Caenorhabditis elegans: one gene and its partner. The protein of the gene in region 1 purifies or fractionates together with the protein of each later gene. This does not show direct contact. Each region holds a gene or a part of one and is shown in the gene's direction. Other genes may lie near its edges.

Region 1 (9,537 bases):
TTTCGGAAACTTTTCAATTTTTCATAAGTTCCGGGGTTTCTCTATTTTTTGAATACACATTTTTTTGACATATTTTACAGTTTTCTCGCTTTTTTCGTAAATTTTTTTCAAGTTTTTGAATTTCGATTTTTTTAAAAAGATTTTCAAAAAACTTAAAAATTTTCATTAGTTGATTTTGCCTTTTTCATTGAAATTTCGAAAATTTTAAATTTCAGCTTATAAAAATTATTTTAAAAAATTGATAAAAACAAAATTTGTGAAACTTTCGTTTTTTTTTTGTAAAAAAAATTATTTTAAAAAACTCGATATATGTTTTTTCAATTAAAAATTTCCAATTTTTGAGATTTCATAGATTTTTTTCTAACAGAAATCCTAATTAGTTTGAAGTTTAAAATCAAGAAATTCTTTTGGAAATTGAAATTTTTAACAATTTTTCATGGCTAAAATTCAATTTTTAACTAAAAAATCCCATAAAAACGAATTCTCACTAATCATAAGAGCAACAGAATGCTCTCCAAATTTCTCATTATCCTTTGTCTCATCATGAATCACTTGTCCATATGTATATACAACATCAACTGACGGTATCGATGGATTTCCCCAATCGACAATTTCTTCGAATGATTTTTGGATACGGTGAGCGATATCTGCCATTCGTTGTGCTTTTGCTGAAAATTTGTTTTTTTTGTGAAAACTTGAATATTACTCATAAGCGAAATTTGGTGCCAAAAATACGGTAACGAGTCTCGACACGAAAATTTTCGTTAAATGCAAAAAGATGTGCACTTTTAAAGAGTACTGTAATTAGAATTTTTGAGAAAAACATTTTCTAAATAAAAAATTCTACCTTCAATAACCATAGAAGATTTATCTCCACCATACAATGTACTCGGCGTTTTCGAGATAATTCTTATAGTATCATCGCTTTTTGTCGATCCTTTCAATCCTTTATCCTGATACTTCTTCCCTCGAATAGTTGTGACAACATGTGATGGATCGGCTCTTTTCAGGAATTTCTCATTAGCCGGGGAACCGGGAAATGGTGAAAAGTCGAGAAAATGTCCTTCAAGCTTTGCAATCGCTGAATTTGTGAGGTGATGTGACGGTTTTTCAATGTCATCGGGGTCGCCACTTAGGATGAATCCACTTTTTTCTGCGAGCGGAACACGGCCGCGTCTGAAATTTAATGCGGTTTTTTTCGAGACTTTACTTGAAAATTGATATATTATTAGGGCGCAGAAAAATTAAATTTTTATCAAAATGCAAGTGCGCTCTACGGCAAAATGTTGGGTCTCGTTAGGTTTTTTGAATTTACAGTTTTGCCGCCAATACCTAGCGAGACCCAACCGTTGAGGGCGGAGCGTTCTCACTGGGCCGTGAAGCGCGTTTGCGAAAAACTTTTTGAAAAAAAAAACTGAAAAAATTAATTTAAACATTTTTAGATTTCGAATTTTTTAATAACAAAACGAAAATGTCTTCAAAAATCAACAGAAAAAACACTAAATAAATTTTATTTTTACTGTTTTTTTTTTTGAGAATTTTCGTGAAAAAAATTTAAAAAAAAAACATTTAACTGTCGATTTTTCTCATTTTAAATAGATTTTTGCTATAAATTTGAGTTCCAATGCAAAATTCGATGATAAATGTAATTTTTCACTCAAAAATCTGCGATTTCCTTTACTTACGCCGGTTTTTTCACAGATCTCGGCGTGTGCACAGTTTTCTGGGCCTGAGCCTCCAGATTCTCCTCTAATTTCGCCAAAATTCCAGAGTCAACGGACTTTTGCCCAAGATTGCTCATCACCGAAACGACATCATCGACAATATCCTCACCGCTCTTCCGGAACGTTTTGCATAGTCCTTCTACTGCAAAAATTCAATATTTTGATGTTTTTTCCGATAATTATTGAATAAAAACTTACATTTTTCAATAAAATGATCTTTTGCGGGACAATTAAAGCCAAATGGCTCAAGATTATCGTTAAAATCTTCCAAATCGAACTCGTATGCCATTTTATGACGGGAAAAAGGAAGGAAATTGATGAGAAAATGGGTGAGTCGAGTTGAATCTCGCGCGCTCTCCTGTTTTGCGGTAGAGCGCGCTTGCACTGTGAAAATTCGAGCTCCGAGGCACGGAGCCCCCGCAGAAAACAAAGAGTTACTTGGGAAATAGAAAATAGGAGATAGAAAAATAAATAATTTGAACTTTGTTTAGTAAAGTTTTTAAAGTTTTATTATATTACTTCGCGCATTTCGTCACACATTTTTTGTGCACACTTGTCAAGGGTGTTCCGATTCCCTCCCCCGACGTTATCAATTGTGGATTTGCCATAGCCACCGAGACACATAGGATTTTAGCTAAACAAGAGTACGCAGGCATCTCAACGAAAGACGGGGCGATGGCGGGAGCCAACAAAGTGTAACATGGGAGAGAGCACGGGAGCCGACGAGTTGCAGGGGCTCCGGGCTGCCTGCGGGAGAGCAACAGGAGCAGCAGGAGGCACCCGCAAATCCTTGCATATTTACTCCGCTCTCACACACTCTCGCCGTTTTTCGCTTTTGACTAGAAAAGTTGCAATTCTTCAGCCTTTTTCAGATCGAAAATGGCGCAAATCGTCCGGCAGAGTAAATTCCGGCACGTGTTCTGTAAGCCCGTCAAGCATGAGAGCTGCATGTCTGACATTAGGGTAAATCACTAGTTTCATGAAACTCCTATATTATAGAGAAAAACCTCCTAGAAAACTGTGAAAAGCGGATTTTACTACGTAGCCGCAAAAAAATCGGTGGCCGAGTTTTTTCTTCTTCCATCCTTTAAATTTATCTGAAAAAAATTTTTTACAATCCCCTGGATTCGATTTTTGTGGAAATGCACATTTAAGAACGCAGAAAAATAAGAAATTTAAATGTTTTAATTTTTTTCAAAATTTCATAGAACTCCAACACTAAATCAAATACCTTTTTCAACAAAAAAAATTCTGCGAAACATATTTTTTTATTTAACTTTAAATATATGCGCAGTTAATTCAGTTATTTTCTAAACTTAGAGAGTTATTTAATGCCAAAAATTGAATTTGTCACGTGGCCGTGAAAGAGAAAACTCGGCCACCGATATTTTCTTTTGCGTTAAAAATTATTCTGAAATACCAATTCATATTCTTAGAAAAGTTTAAAAAAAGAAAACACCTTTTTTTTTCCAAAAATTTGAATAGATTTTTAAAAGTATAGAAAACTAATTAATAAATAGTTTTTTATTGTTTAAAAAATTTATATATGAAAATACAGTACCCGCTATTTAAAGGCGCCTTAAAAACTTGAATTCAACCTTTTCAGGTCACAGAAATCACTTGGGATTCATTATTCTGCGATGTCAATCCGAAATTCATCGCCTTCATCAACAGAGGGGCTGGTGGACCATTTATGGTCATTCCAGTGAATAAGGTAAGTTTTTTATACAAATAAAACACAAAAACCCCACCTGACAAGTGTTTTCAAATGTTATTTCCGGATTTTTAATTTTTTAATTATTTTTTTCCGAGCATGATGATCAGCAACTCAACAACACCTGTTACCTAAGGGGTCGGAAAACAAAAACTTTTAAAAAATTATTGAATAAACCTTTAGAAGATCAATAATTTTTAAAAAAAAAGTTAACTGAAATTTTGTGAAAAACCTACACCTATAGCTGTGTATCTGCAAAAACACCATTTTGAAATCTTCCTTGGTTACTAAAGTTTTCAATTTCTCTGGAAACTTAAATTGAAGCAGCCGACATTTCACGTTCCTGCTATCCAAAAAATGCCAAATATTTCCAGATCGGTCGCGTCGACAAGGACTATCCATTCGTGGATGCTCACAAGGCTCCGTGCCTCGAAGTCGCATGGAGCCCGTTCAACGACAATGTTATTGCATCGTGCTCCGAAGACACCACATGTAAAGTGTGGGTGATTCCGGATCGTGGGCTCAACAGAAATCTCTCAGAACCAGCTGTCGAGTTGACTGGTCATCAGAAGAGAGTTAACACCATTGCGTGGCATCCGGTCGCTAATAATGTTCTTCTTACTGCTGGTTAGTGAAAATTAAAATTATGGATACTGTAAGATTACTGATGATGTTTTGGGATTTCTTTGGGTTACTGTCGATAAGTTAGGCTATCTAGGGTTACTGTAATATTGGTGTAGACGTACTTCTCGGCAATTTTGCCGCAACTTCTCACCCAATTATAGGTACATTGTTATCAAGTTTAGCCAACTTCAGGTAGTTTTTCAGTGGAAATTTTTGAGGCTTATTAGAGACCAGCCGATCTATGTTTGGACATTTTGTTAGAGTACTATATGATTACTGTACTACCAGAATCTAGAATATCCCTACAGTAACCCAAGTAAAAATGAATTTACTGTAATTTTACTTTCCAGGCGGAGAAAACGTAATGTTTATGTGGAACGTTGGAACCGGAGAGGCACTCCTCGAAATCTCCGGGCACCCCGATCAAATCTGGAGCATCAACTTCAACTTTGACGGTAGTCAATTTGTGACTACCTGCAAGGACAAGAAGATCCGTATTCTTGACTCACACACCGGAGAGGTTGTTCACGAGGGAATGGGTCATGAGGGTGTCAAGCCGCAGCGAGCCATTTTTGTGAAAGATGGGCTCATTTTGAGCACGGGCTTCACCAAAAGATCCGAAAGATTGTATGCTCTCCGAGCCCCGGAAGATCTGTCAACCCCAATTGTCGAAGAGGAGCTGGATACCTCGAATGGAGTCGTCTTCCCGTTTTACGATGAAGATTCCGGTTTGGTGTACCTTGTTGGAAAGGGAGATTGTGCTATTCGGTACTATGAGGTTAACAACGATGCTCCGTACGTACATTATATTAATACTTACACTACAAATGAGCCGCAAAGAGCTGTTGGATTCCAGTCGAAGAGAGGAATGTCGTCGGAGGAGAATGAAATTAATCGGATTTATAAGTTGACTACGAAGGGAGTTGTGGATATTTTGCAGTTCTTTGTACCGCGCAAATCGGATCTTTTCCAGGTATGCGGAGTTTTGAAATAAGGTTTTGTTCTGAAAAGTTGTAGGTTAACAATTTTGGCTCGAAAAATTATTTTGAAAAATTTCCTACAATTTTTTAACTGAACCCATATTCCAGCACGATCTCTATCCGGATACCAGATCCACCATCCCAGCCCTTACCGCAGAAGAGTTCATGGAAGGTTGGCTGGAAATTTCTTTATTTTTTAATTGTCCAGTGTATTTTTCAGGTAAAAATGCTGCACCAAACCGTCAGCCAGTAAATGCAGCCGCTGCTGCAGCTGCCGCCAAACCAAAGGTCCAGGTAGCCAAGAAAGCCAATATTTTGAGCACTTTGGCTCCGACTGCGTGAGTTTTTGAAAAAGTGAAAACGCTTTAAATTTTTAGAGAAAATTAGGTTCGATTAAATTTGTTTTGGAAATTGTAAAGCGAATAAATTTTACTTTTAAGAATATTGAAAACAAACTCGTTTTGAAAATTAAACCAACATATTTTTTCTAAAATGTTTCTTTTTAAAAAAATTCAAGAATGTTTAATAATTCCTACTCGAACACCAAACCACCAAAAAAAAGTCTTCTATTGTGTTTTACAGTATTTAAATAAATAAAAAACTTATTTCCTGCCAAACTTGAAACTATATGGCTTAGAATCTCCAACAAAAAACTGAAATGGTGGCAAAAATCTGAAATAAATATCACATAAAAAACCTTTCAGAAAACATTTTAAAAAATATGAAAATGCCAACAAAAAACAATGCCATTAATCTAAATTTTCGGTTTTCTAAAGAATTTTGTTTTCAGAAATTAAAAATGCTGGAGAGTTGAAAATAAAAATTAATTTTTATTATAATTTCTAATTTTTTGACATAACTTTTTATTGAAAATTCTTTTTCTTTAATATCAAATTTTTTAAAATTCCAGCGCCGAATCAGTACCCACCCAATCCTACTCTGAACGTCCACCGTCATCTCAACAACCATCACCACGTCCATCTGCATCCCCGAGACCTCGTCCAGTTGTTGACGATGATATGGGAATTGTTACAATGAGAGAAGCACCGCCAAGTCGTCCAGCTTCATCAAGAGCTTCTCGAACTGAAATTCCCCCAAAGGAGGAGAGCAAGGTTGATCCAATGAAGCCGAAACAGGCGGTGAGCTTTTTTTTTTGTAAAATTTAGAACTTGAATTAATTTAAAATTTGGTTTTAAAAATTTGCTGTTCTAGCCTTGGAATTGAATCATGGCCTAAAAATTTAATTCTAGTCCACTGACGAGGAAAACTTCTTTCATGACTTTTTTAAGACGGTCAAGAATTTTTATCCCCCAATAATCCCTTTCTATCCCGCTGGAAATATTTTCAAATATGTTATCAAAAACGAGGTCGCCGGAAAATTCTATTCCACCATATTATCAAGCGTGGCTGAAAAAAACTTAGCCCGCCACTTGCAAGGGCGTGGCCTAATTTTCATTTAAAAAACCTTTGCCACGCCCGAGAATGTGGGGGCCTTTGATTTTCAGCTGATTATAACTGCTAAATCTAATAAACTTAAGTCACAAATTGTATTGAAATTCATTTTTGAAACTTCTAGGCCACCAAGTGCTCGCACGTGGCCTAGGAAATCCAAATTTCTCAATGTGAATTTTTCTAGCTCATGTGTATTCAATTTGCGGCCTAGGATTTTCAACTAACAAAAACTGCACATTCATTACTCAATTTTGATTGAAAACCTTGCCAAAATCAATTTTCAAAAGTTCTAGGCCACCAACTGGGCTCTCGTGGCCTAGGGATTTTGCCGATCGCTTCTTTTGAACTAAATTATTTAAAAAAAAACTAATGCTAATGATCCCCACTTCTCCAAAAAAGCACCATCCTATCACTTTCACCTTTTCCATTTTTCCAGGTTCAACTGAAATCCCGTGCCGCCCGTGATGAGCCCGGAGGCGGTGCTCAAACTGCCGGTCAGAGAAGAGCCGCCGCCGAGTTGGAAAGGATCAAGAGAGATCAGTCAAGAACCGCCGATGAGGACAACACTCTAGCTCCACCTCCATCTTCTTCCCGAGCTTCTGCATCGCCACGTGGCAGTGTATCAGCTGCGTCTGACGTAGGGGCACGTGTTTTTTACTGTGCTTACCAACTAAAATGTTGTTTTTCTAGAAAACAAAAACACGTTGACTTTTAACCAATTAGTAAGAAAATTAACAATTTTTGTGGGCCGTGGCCGAGTTTCCAGCAATAAGAATTGGGAACTTACAAATTAAATTTTAATTAAAACAAGCTTTGAAAAATTTCAGTTTAGTGTTTTACTTTAATTTTATTAAAAAAATGTCAAGCAACGTTTTTTTCTAATTTTCAAAAAATAACTATAAAATATGTTTTTCAAAAATAGAAATAAAATTCGAAAAACCAATTTTCCAAATTCATTAACATCAACTGAAATCTTTAAACGCCACGGCCTAGAAATCGAATTCTAGGCCATGAAAAGCCCCACCGTAGCCTAGGATTTTCCCACTACTAAAATGTACATTCTAATATGTTGTTATTGTTTTTGTGTTTTATAATAATATTCGTTTTTCTTCCAAAAATTGGACCGACATATTAAAAATTCAAATTTTTTATTTTCTAGGCCACCAGTAATACTATCGTGACCTAGATTTTGAGAATTTAATTTTTATCCAATTTTGCCCTTTTTATTTTCTAACGAAAAATTAATTATTCAAAAAGTTTTCTTATCCAAAAACGGGTGGCCTAACTTTTCTAAAGGCCCCAGAAAGCCAGGCAACTCCAAAATCCCTTTTTTGTTTCAAAATTTACAAAGGTGTTATAGTGAAAATTCTTGTATAATTTAAAAATTAATTTAAATAAAAAATTTCCAGCACGTGCCTCAGAACATGGATGAGCTTTTGGAAGATCTGATGAAAATGAAAGCTGTGCTTCGGCAACACGAACGTCGCATTCGGATGCTCGAAGAGGAGATTGCTGATCGTAATATGAGCAATGCTTATTCTTTTTGAACATGTTTAATTTTTTGAAAGAAAACTTTTTTTTCGAAAAAAAAAATTTCAAAAAAAATATCGATAATTTTTTATTTGTTTGTTTGTAAAAAGTGTGTTGTATTGTATTGCAACCTAATAAATGGTAACTTTTTCATTTCTCTTTTTTTTATTTTTCATCTATCACTTCCCGGGATTCCGGTTTCTCCCCCTCCCCACAGTGTCCCGAGGAGGCTACGCCGCCTCCACACTTTCGATTCCGACACCCGATTCAGGCGCGAATTTCCCTTATCTTTTCTTCTCGCTTATCAACTACACAAATCCACAATCATCTCAGTCTGATATAATCCTTATAAACTTTCCAAAAATATGGTCCCTCGTTTTCTAGTATTCTCAGTTTTGGCTTCACTTGCAACTGGACCACCGACTGCTGACGCTTTCTTGGCTTCGGCGTTCTCGTCGGTATCTCAGGCGGGAAAAACAGCAAATTGTCATGATTGGAGTGAATATGGACCTTGTTTCAGGTGATTTTTAGGAGAAAAACCAACATTTTTGGTGGGGAGGGTCGTGGGCTCCCATGCAGTTTTAAAAAATTCGCTTGTCCAAAGCTTTTTTTCCCGTATATTTAAGAAACTCTAAACTATCAACAAAATCTATTACATAAGGCGGCAATCATGACGTAACAGCTGAAAAATCGGTGGCCGAATTTTCTCTATGACGGTCCCGTTTTGTTTGTAAATTCCTATTTTTCAAAATTGCTACAAAATTTTTTTTTCAATTTCCAAAATCAATTTTTGAAAACTTTTCTTCTTTAAAGATATTGATATCACGTTTTTCTTATCATTTGACCTTATCATTAAAATATCACCTGAATCTTTAACATAGGTCGACGCTTACCACGGGGTCGCGGGCAGAGAAAACTCGGTCAAGCTCAAGAAATTTGAAAATCATAGCAATTAAACCGTCCATGTAAAAAATAATCAATGAAACCAAGATGTTGGAAATTGTTTTTTTTTCATTTAAAAATCTTCCCTCGTACATAAATCAACACCCACAATGTCAACACATTTTAATGGCCTAGTTTTCCACTGCTCTTCCATTTTCAGCACTGCAGACCGATCATTCTGGCGTACGCTTCCCCAGCAATGCTACCAAAACCGTTACATGTCCCTCATCACAGGAATCGGTAACCCAATCGTTCAGAAAGTGATGGACTACGCGGAGCTCTTCAACAAATCGGCGACGGCATGCGGAATGTGCAATGTTCAAGTCGCGTGTTCACCCAGATGTGATTATGTAGCTGGGTAAGGGTGACAATTGCAACACGCACAACAATAAACAATTCATATTTAGAGGCAATTCAATCGGTGTTGTCGACCGGATTTGTGATCTTCCAACCGAGAAACAGGCGTGCGCAATGACTCCACAGGCATTTGACGAGGACACTGGACTTTGTAGAGTATGGCCACCGAGGTGAACTTTTCATTTTTTTGGTTTTTTGGTTTTTTGAATGTGGA
Region 2 (6,082 bases), on another chromosome or scaffold:
TGATGTAAGCTTTCATGGATGTCAGATTTTTTATTTTAAAATCTAAATTCAGAGGTTCATCACGCACAAACGAGCTATAAACGGGGAGCTCCGCAGGTCCAGTATTCTTTGGGGCAAACGGGCACATGCTTCAGGGCTGAGGAATTTTGAAAGGGTGAGTCAAGGAAATTTTACTTCTTCACTTCTGTGTTTTTTTTGAATTTACATAAAGCGTTTTTTTTTTTGGAACAACACTATTCTATTGATACACTTGAGAAATCCTAATGTTTTGAAGTTTTGGCCACGAGTTTAATGCAGGTGGAATTGTTAATTTTTGGCAAAGATAGAATCACGAGGAAATTTGTCATCCCTAAATAATTTTAAAACTTATAGTTAGCAGGTGCAATCAAATGTAGTGTGTTTTCAATAAACCACTGACTCATTTCATTTATTTCAATTTAATTTAATTCAGGACATCCCTCTGATTCCTGAAGATTTCATGGTGATGTGGCCGGTGGAATCATCCGAGAAAACGATCAAAGATGAGAATAAATTCGAAACGGTAAACAAATTACTTGGAATCCACTCCTTCCTGTTCACTTATGATTCTTGTTTCCAAGATTTCATCGAATCAGATTGCAGACCACAATATTGGCCAAGACTTCAAGACAGTCGTTGAATCAACATGAGACTGAAAATGAGGAAGTGTTTTCTGATGACAATCTGAAAATGGAGCGGGTGGCGAAAGCAGGAATCCGGCCAAAACTTCAACTCAGCAGCCGGCTTTGGGGGCGTTGAAGGTGCAGAAATGAGATAGTTGATACAATTTTTCTTTCCTCCAGTCCTTGTACTTTTGGTGAAATAAAGCTGTTTTGTTAGAGCTGTGATACAAAGTTTCCATCATACAAACAGTCTATTTTCTGTCAACCGAGTATAGCTTAAAAAATTAAAGCGTTTCAACCACGTCCCGATTATTTAAATTTATAATCGAGCAGTTACTAATAAAGGAAATTCAAGTCTGGTTACACCTTTTTTTGTTAAATTTTTTTTTGAAATGTCAGAAGAGATGCTCAACAGTGGGATACTTTTTTATAATTGCAAGACGTGCCTAATCCTTTATATAAGGTTTTGCATTGGACTTCCTTAAACTTAACACTTGTTACATCTTGGAGTTTTCTAAAATATTGTCAAGGTTATTTTGTCATAAAACTATTTTAGTGCACAATTATTCCATTGATTAAAATGCATGTTCAGTAGGTTGATGTGTGCCCAAATTTATTTCTACGCCTTTAAATGAACCGTGAAATAAACCTTTTAATTTGTAATAAAATTTTGCTAATCAGTTTTGATCAAATAAAATTTAGTCCAGTTTTAAGCTCTAGTATGTATACCTGGCCATTCACAAATTCAGAATTTGGTACAACTATCACAAGCGCAGTATTAAAACTGGTTTTGTCTAAAACACTGTACATAAAGTGACATTCAGATGTGTATGTGCGTGATTTCCTGCAAAAATTGTATACCTGAATGTAACGCAAGCAGACCAGCTAACACTTTGCATAGCGCATCGTTTCCTGATCGAATAATAATGATTCACACCTATTATCTATTATCCGCGGTTAGTTGGTGAAAGGAGATGAGGGGATTCTTGGCAAATTCTCGTTTCCGACCAATTCGCAGTCTTTATCGTCTTCCACAATTTCTTAGTATTATTCGTTTTTTGCCCTGCGTGTCGGCCCACCATTCATTTGCCCTTCCACAATATCTTTCGTCACACTTTTCTGTCCAAGCGTGAACCTTTGCTATTCAAGTGCACTCAAGCGAATTGCCAGCATTACAGAAAGTGTATAAAATGATTATAAAGACGGGTGTGAAAACTGTGTATTCGCAAGATGAAAAAGTGTGGACTTTTGGTTAAAGCTAGTGGAAATTTTTATTTATGTTTTAATCGTTCAATGACTCATTTTTCTTATCAAGGGGTTTTTGCAAGATTATATAAGTTTATGATTTTTTTTCATTAAAGTTCATTTTTTAAATTGCGCAAACATGATTGATACGTGAAAAAATGAAAAGATATATTTTTTAATTTTGCTTTACAAAATTGTATTTCGGGGGGCGGATAGCTCAGTCGGTAGTGGTGACCGCTAGAAATCTGGAGGTCATAAGTTCAAGTCCGGCCTCACCCCCTAGGTTCACCCAGCCACTATTGGGCTTAATGGTATTATGCCTATCATAATTTGTAGTCCACAAAAAAATCTTTGTTTGCCAAACTTCATTAGCTCGAATGCTCTTGCGACCACTGTTAAAACATTAATTCGTCCAAAGTAGTTTAAGAGTTATTCTATATGCCGGCGGTATTATTTTTCCACTAAGTTTCCCAAATATTCTATAGTTGAGAACCGAAGTATTATAAAATTACAAATAACTGTTGCGTTATTTCTGACATTGTTTCTGTAGTTTTTGAGATTTTTTGCCCACAAACTCCATCATTCATTTAGGTCTCCATTCTTACAAACAACATTTTGAAGTCGATTTGAAAAGATAGTCACATGAACACTGATTTTGTAAAGCGTCACAAATATTTCCCTTCTCAAACACACCTAGTACACACCATTAAAAGTTCCACATTAGTTCTTGTTCTCGTAACTAGTTTTCTTTTGTGAAATTCCAGAGGAATCAAATTTTATGACAAGTTGAAAAATTAGGGCGGACGACGACGAGGTGAACACTAAATCAAAGACCATTGGAATCTTCAATGTTCTCCTGGTCAGTCATCGTAGAACATTTCGCTTCCTTATTTCAGTTTATTTTTCCTTGTGGTCTCTGCCATAGTCCCGTTTTGATTGAAAGTCTAGGTCCTTCAACAATGCATATCATACCCGATTCTCTTTTTTCATGCTTAGACAGATCTCTAAGCTTACGTAACAGGTTCCTTCCATTCGTATCGTTTTGCCCCATTTGACGATTTTTCTTTTTCACAGCTACTTTCTTGCCGCATTTGCATTAAATGCTAAACTAAGATTGATTCAAATATTAGATATGAAGATGTTTCGATGATGGAACTATTTGAATTCAGTGACTTCTGTGACTTTTTCTATACTGTTCTTGTAACTTTCTGTAAATTTTTACATAAACGGTATCTTACAGATTTGTCATGATTACAAACTGCCTGATATTACTGGCAATTTTGTTTGGATTTGCATCGACTCAGTATCTGAACTTAAACCTTCATAGACATCAAAGTTGTGCATGGAGAAAAAGTAATTATTAAACTATCGTTGTCACTTTTTTAATACTTTACGTGTTACAGGTTCTCACTGGAACCGCAAAATCGAGTTCCAGGGTGGCCACTCGGATAGTGGAGCGCTACTCAAGTCAACTGAACAGAAAGGGTGCTATGCAATTAGTGTGAGTTAGCCCCCAAGAGTGTTTTATTTTGATTTTTGAAAAACAATAACAATGCTTGATGATTGACGTTATTACAATAATAATAATAATTCATTTTCTTTAGGGAAAAGTGAAAATTCATGAGGATGTGAGCGACGAGTTGTTGATCTACTTGTCCGTGTCGACCACTGGTGACACTCAAAGACCACCGGAAGTGTGCAGGGATGCCAATCCGGACACTGGTTGTGGAGGTGTTGGATCATGGTAATGAGTTATTGACAGAAATATTAGGGAAATCATCAAGATTCTAGAGCTAGAAAAAACATTAGGAAATGAAAAAAAAGCCTTTTGAGCAGTTAATGATAGATGAACAGCTGTGAAGTACCTAAAAGTTTTAAGTTAGAGGTCACTCTTAAAACAAAAAGTATAACTATAACAATTTCATACATAAGTGTTTAACCTGCAAAATAAATTAAAAAAAAAGAACTGAAGAGAGTGGGATTCGAACCCACGCCCCCGAAGGGACTGGTGCCTTAAACCAGCGCCTTAGACCGCTCGGCCATCTCTCCACGTACTACGCTATCATAATTTGTCGTTATGTTATAACTTCAAACAACAAGATTTAGTTGTATTTCGATGATTACGAAATTTAAATTTTCGAACTTGAAAATTTGTTGTTTTGTTGTTTCCAAAAAATGACGTAAACACTGCTGTTTCAGTCTCTACTGCCGGCCATGTGATTCTTTGGACTCTCTCACGAAAATTCTCGGAGCTCAACTTGTTGTGAACGGCAAACCAGCAGGATGTGAGCCATTAAAAGTGAGCAACATCGTTAAAAAAAATTTACGATGCAGTCAATAACACTATTTTTAGAAAGGAGAATATGATAATGTTGAACTCCGTTTCTGCCTTCCGAAATTAGCTGCATTGTTGGAATGGCAGGGAATTTCAGAAGACGCGTTAGATCACATTTTAGCTGCTACTACTCAGGTTTGACAAAATGAAAATAATTATTGAAAGAAAAAGTGTGTTTCAGGAAGGAAATGGTCCACCAAAGCTTAGTCTATTTGTGACCGTTTATTTGTTCGACAAGGATATTAAACCTCTTCTAGTGTAAGTTCTGAAAATTAAATAGGTTTTAGCCAGATTTACAGTTTCATATACCATCTAACAACCATTCACTATATTCGAGACATATATGTCACATACATTACAGCTATATGAAAAATAACACTATTTTTCACGAGTAGAAAATTTTTAAACAAATAGAAAAATGAAATAATTTCAGCTCTCAACGAAAACTAGAATCTCGCATCCGTGAACTTCGCAAACTTGGCGCTGATGAGCCAGTTGACTCTCAAACTTATTGGAATCTGCCATTCAATCAAATTATCAAAAAGCAGTCAGTTTTCGTTGGATGTCACAAACTTTACGGAACCATTAGCTTGAGCGACATTCAAGCCAAGAAGAAATAAGAAAATATATTTGGATGAACAACGATGATAACTTCATGTTTATTCATTTCGTTTATGCGGGTTCATTTTTTGTGAATTATGAAATAAACACAATAAAAATTATGAATTAGATAAGCAAATTGATCTTGACATTTAATAAATAACAGTCAATCTTTATGGTGATACTGTGCTCAAAGACTCGTTGTGTAAAAAACAACAGTTTTGTCTGGTATCCTTTTGAGTATGTTTTTTTACATTTCTTCAATATGCATTTTATTCAATACAACCTCAATATTTTGCTAGCCTCAAAATGTTTCTGGGATTTTGTTCAAAGTATTCTGTATACCCTTTACTTCTAGAATTTTTATTCTTGTGTATACAACAGTACACGAATTCTACAGAAAAATCTTGCAAAGTTACTAATAGTAAGGAAAACTGGAACTATATATGTTGTTGGTTAGAGATCATAAAGTGATATTTATGTAACACATCTGTAAAACTTTATTGCATTTGTTCTCACTACTAGTTGAAGGACATAAGGCTTTTGATTCATTATTTTCCTTTTTTTTTACTTTTTTCCCCTTTCCTTTTCTTTTAATCTCTTCATCTTTTCAGAATCTCATAACCTTCATGACCTCGAAACGCCATCCGACAATCATTTCACATTGAGGTAAAAGTAACACGAAAAAGAAAGAAAAAACGAGAAAAGTGGTTTTGATGGCTGTCAGACTTTTATTACACATTTGTACAATTCATATCTATATTCCCCTTTCACCCCCACCGTCACTGTAAACTATTCTAAAATCCAGCTGAAAAGGGGTGTGAAAGAAGGGCACGTCCTCGTCGCTTACTTCATAAGCCATGACACCTTCATTTGCGCATCGGTTTCAGTCGCAGATGTTGGTCGTTTTCTTAGCTTCATCGTGTCTTTTCGTTTCCATTTCCAACGCGTTGGAAAACGTTGAGTTGGGAAAAGATCTGAGTGTAACTCTTGAACTCATCAAACATCAACCATGCAAAAGTAGGTTTACGAGATTTTAAACCAAAGCTTATTTGGTTTTCAGGTGGTAAATGGACAAAGAAGTTAGAATTCGAGTCTGGAAATGATAGGAGAGGCCCGAAACTTGAACCACAAGCCGATAAGCCAAACTGTTTTACTATCGGAGGCCAAGTAGAAGTTCTAGAGGTAAAATATTGTGCTTTTTGTTTTGTTAATATTCCGTGTCTTGAAGGAGGACTAACGGTTTGGATGATTTTGAACG

Evidence for each region. Proteins that work in one complex are often made in the same cells at the same time.
Region 2: the proteins of cor-1 (region 1) and gmap-2 fractionate together in Caenorhabditis elegans (co-fractionation; one large-scale study listed by BioGRID). This does not show direct contact.

The regions. Positions count from the first base shown.
Region 1 is NC_003281.10:10,246,534-10,256,070, forward strand, and holds cor-1 (Coronin-like protein cor-1), read left to right. Parts: upstream 1-2,577; 5' UTR 2,578-2,603; coding exon 2,604-2,687; intron 2,688-2,918; exon of another isoform or gene 2,919-2,939; intron 2,940-3,330; coding exon 3,331-3,438; intron 3,439-3,812; coding exon 3,813-4,065; intron 4,066-4,412; coding exon 4,413-5,035; intron 5,036-5,150; coding exon 5,151-5,214; intron 5,215-5,262; coding exon 5,263-5,380; intron 5,381-5,952; coding exon 5,953-6,181; intron 6,182-6,930; coding exon 6,931-7,137; intron 7,138-7,903; coding exon 7,904-8,041; 3' UTR 8,042-8,176; downstream 8,177-9,537. Other genes in the region: div-1 (DNA polymerase alpha subunit B), read right to left, coding at 489-668, 848-1,176, 1,686-1,866, 1,923-2,013; R01H10.4 (uncharacterized protein), read left to right, coding at 8,390-8,544, 9,127-9,324, 9,374-9,493. UniProt on the Caenorhabditis elegans protein: Required to direct the migration of Q neuroblasts along the anterior axis of the body during larval development. This is dependent on its asymmetric expression in Q neuroblasts.
Region 2 is NC_003284.9:12,940,311-12,946,392, reverse strand, and holds gmap-2 (GM2 Activator Protein family member), read left to right. Parts: upstream 1-3,126; 5' UTR 3,127-3,133; coding exon 3,134-3,239; intron 3,240-3,289; coding exon 3,290-3,387; intron 3,388-3,490; coding exon 3,491-3,630; intron 3,631-3,853; exon of another isoform or gene 3,854-3,935; intron 3,936-4,085; coding exon 4,086-4,185; intron 4,186-4,239; coding exon 4,240-4,356; intron 4,357-4,402; coding exon 4,403-4,479; intron 4,480-4,654; coding exon 4,655-4,841; 3' UTR 4,842-4,951; downstream 4,952-6,082. Other genes in the region: nssp-88 (Neuropeptide-Like Protein), read left to right, coding at 1-4, 53-154, 452-541, 622-777; gmap-3 (GM2 Activator Protein family member), read left to right, coding at 5,682-5,841, 5,885-6,006.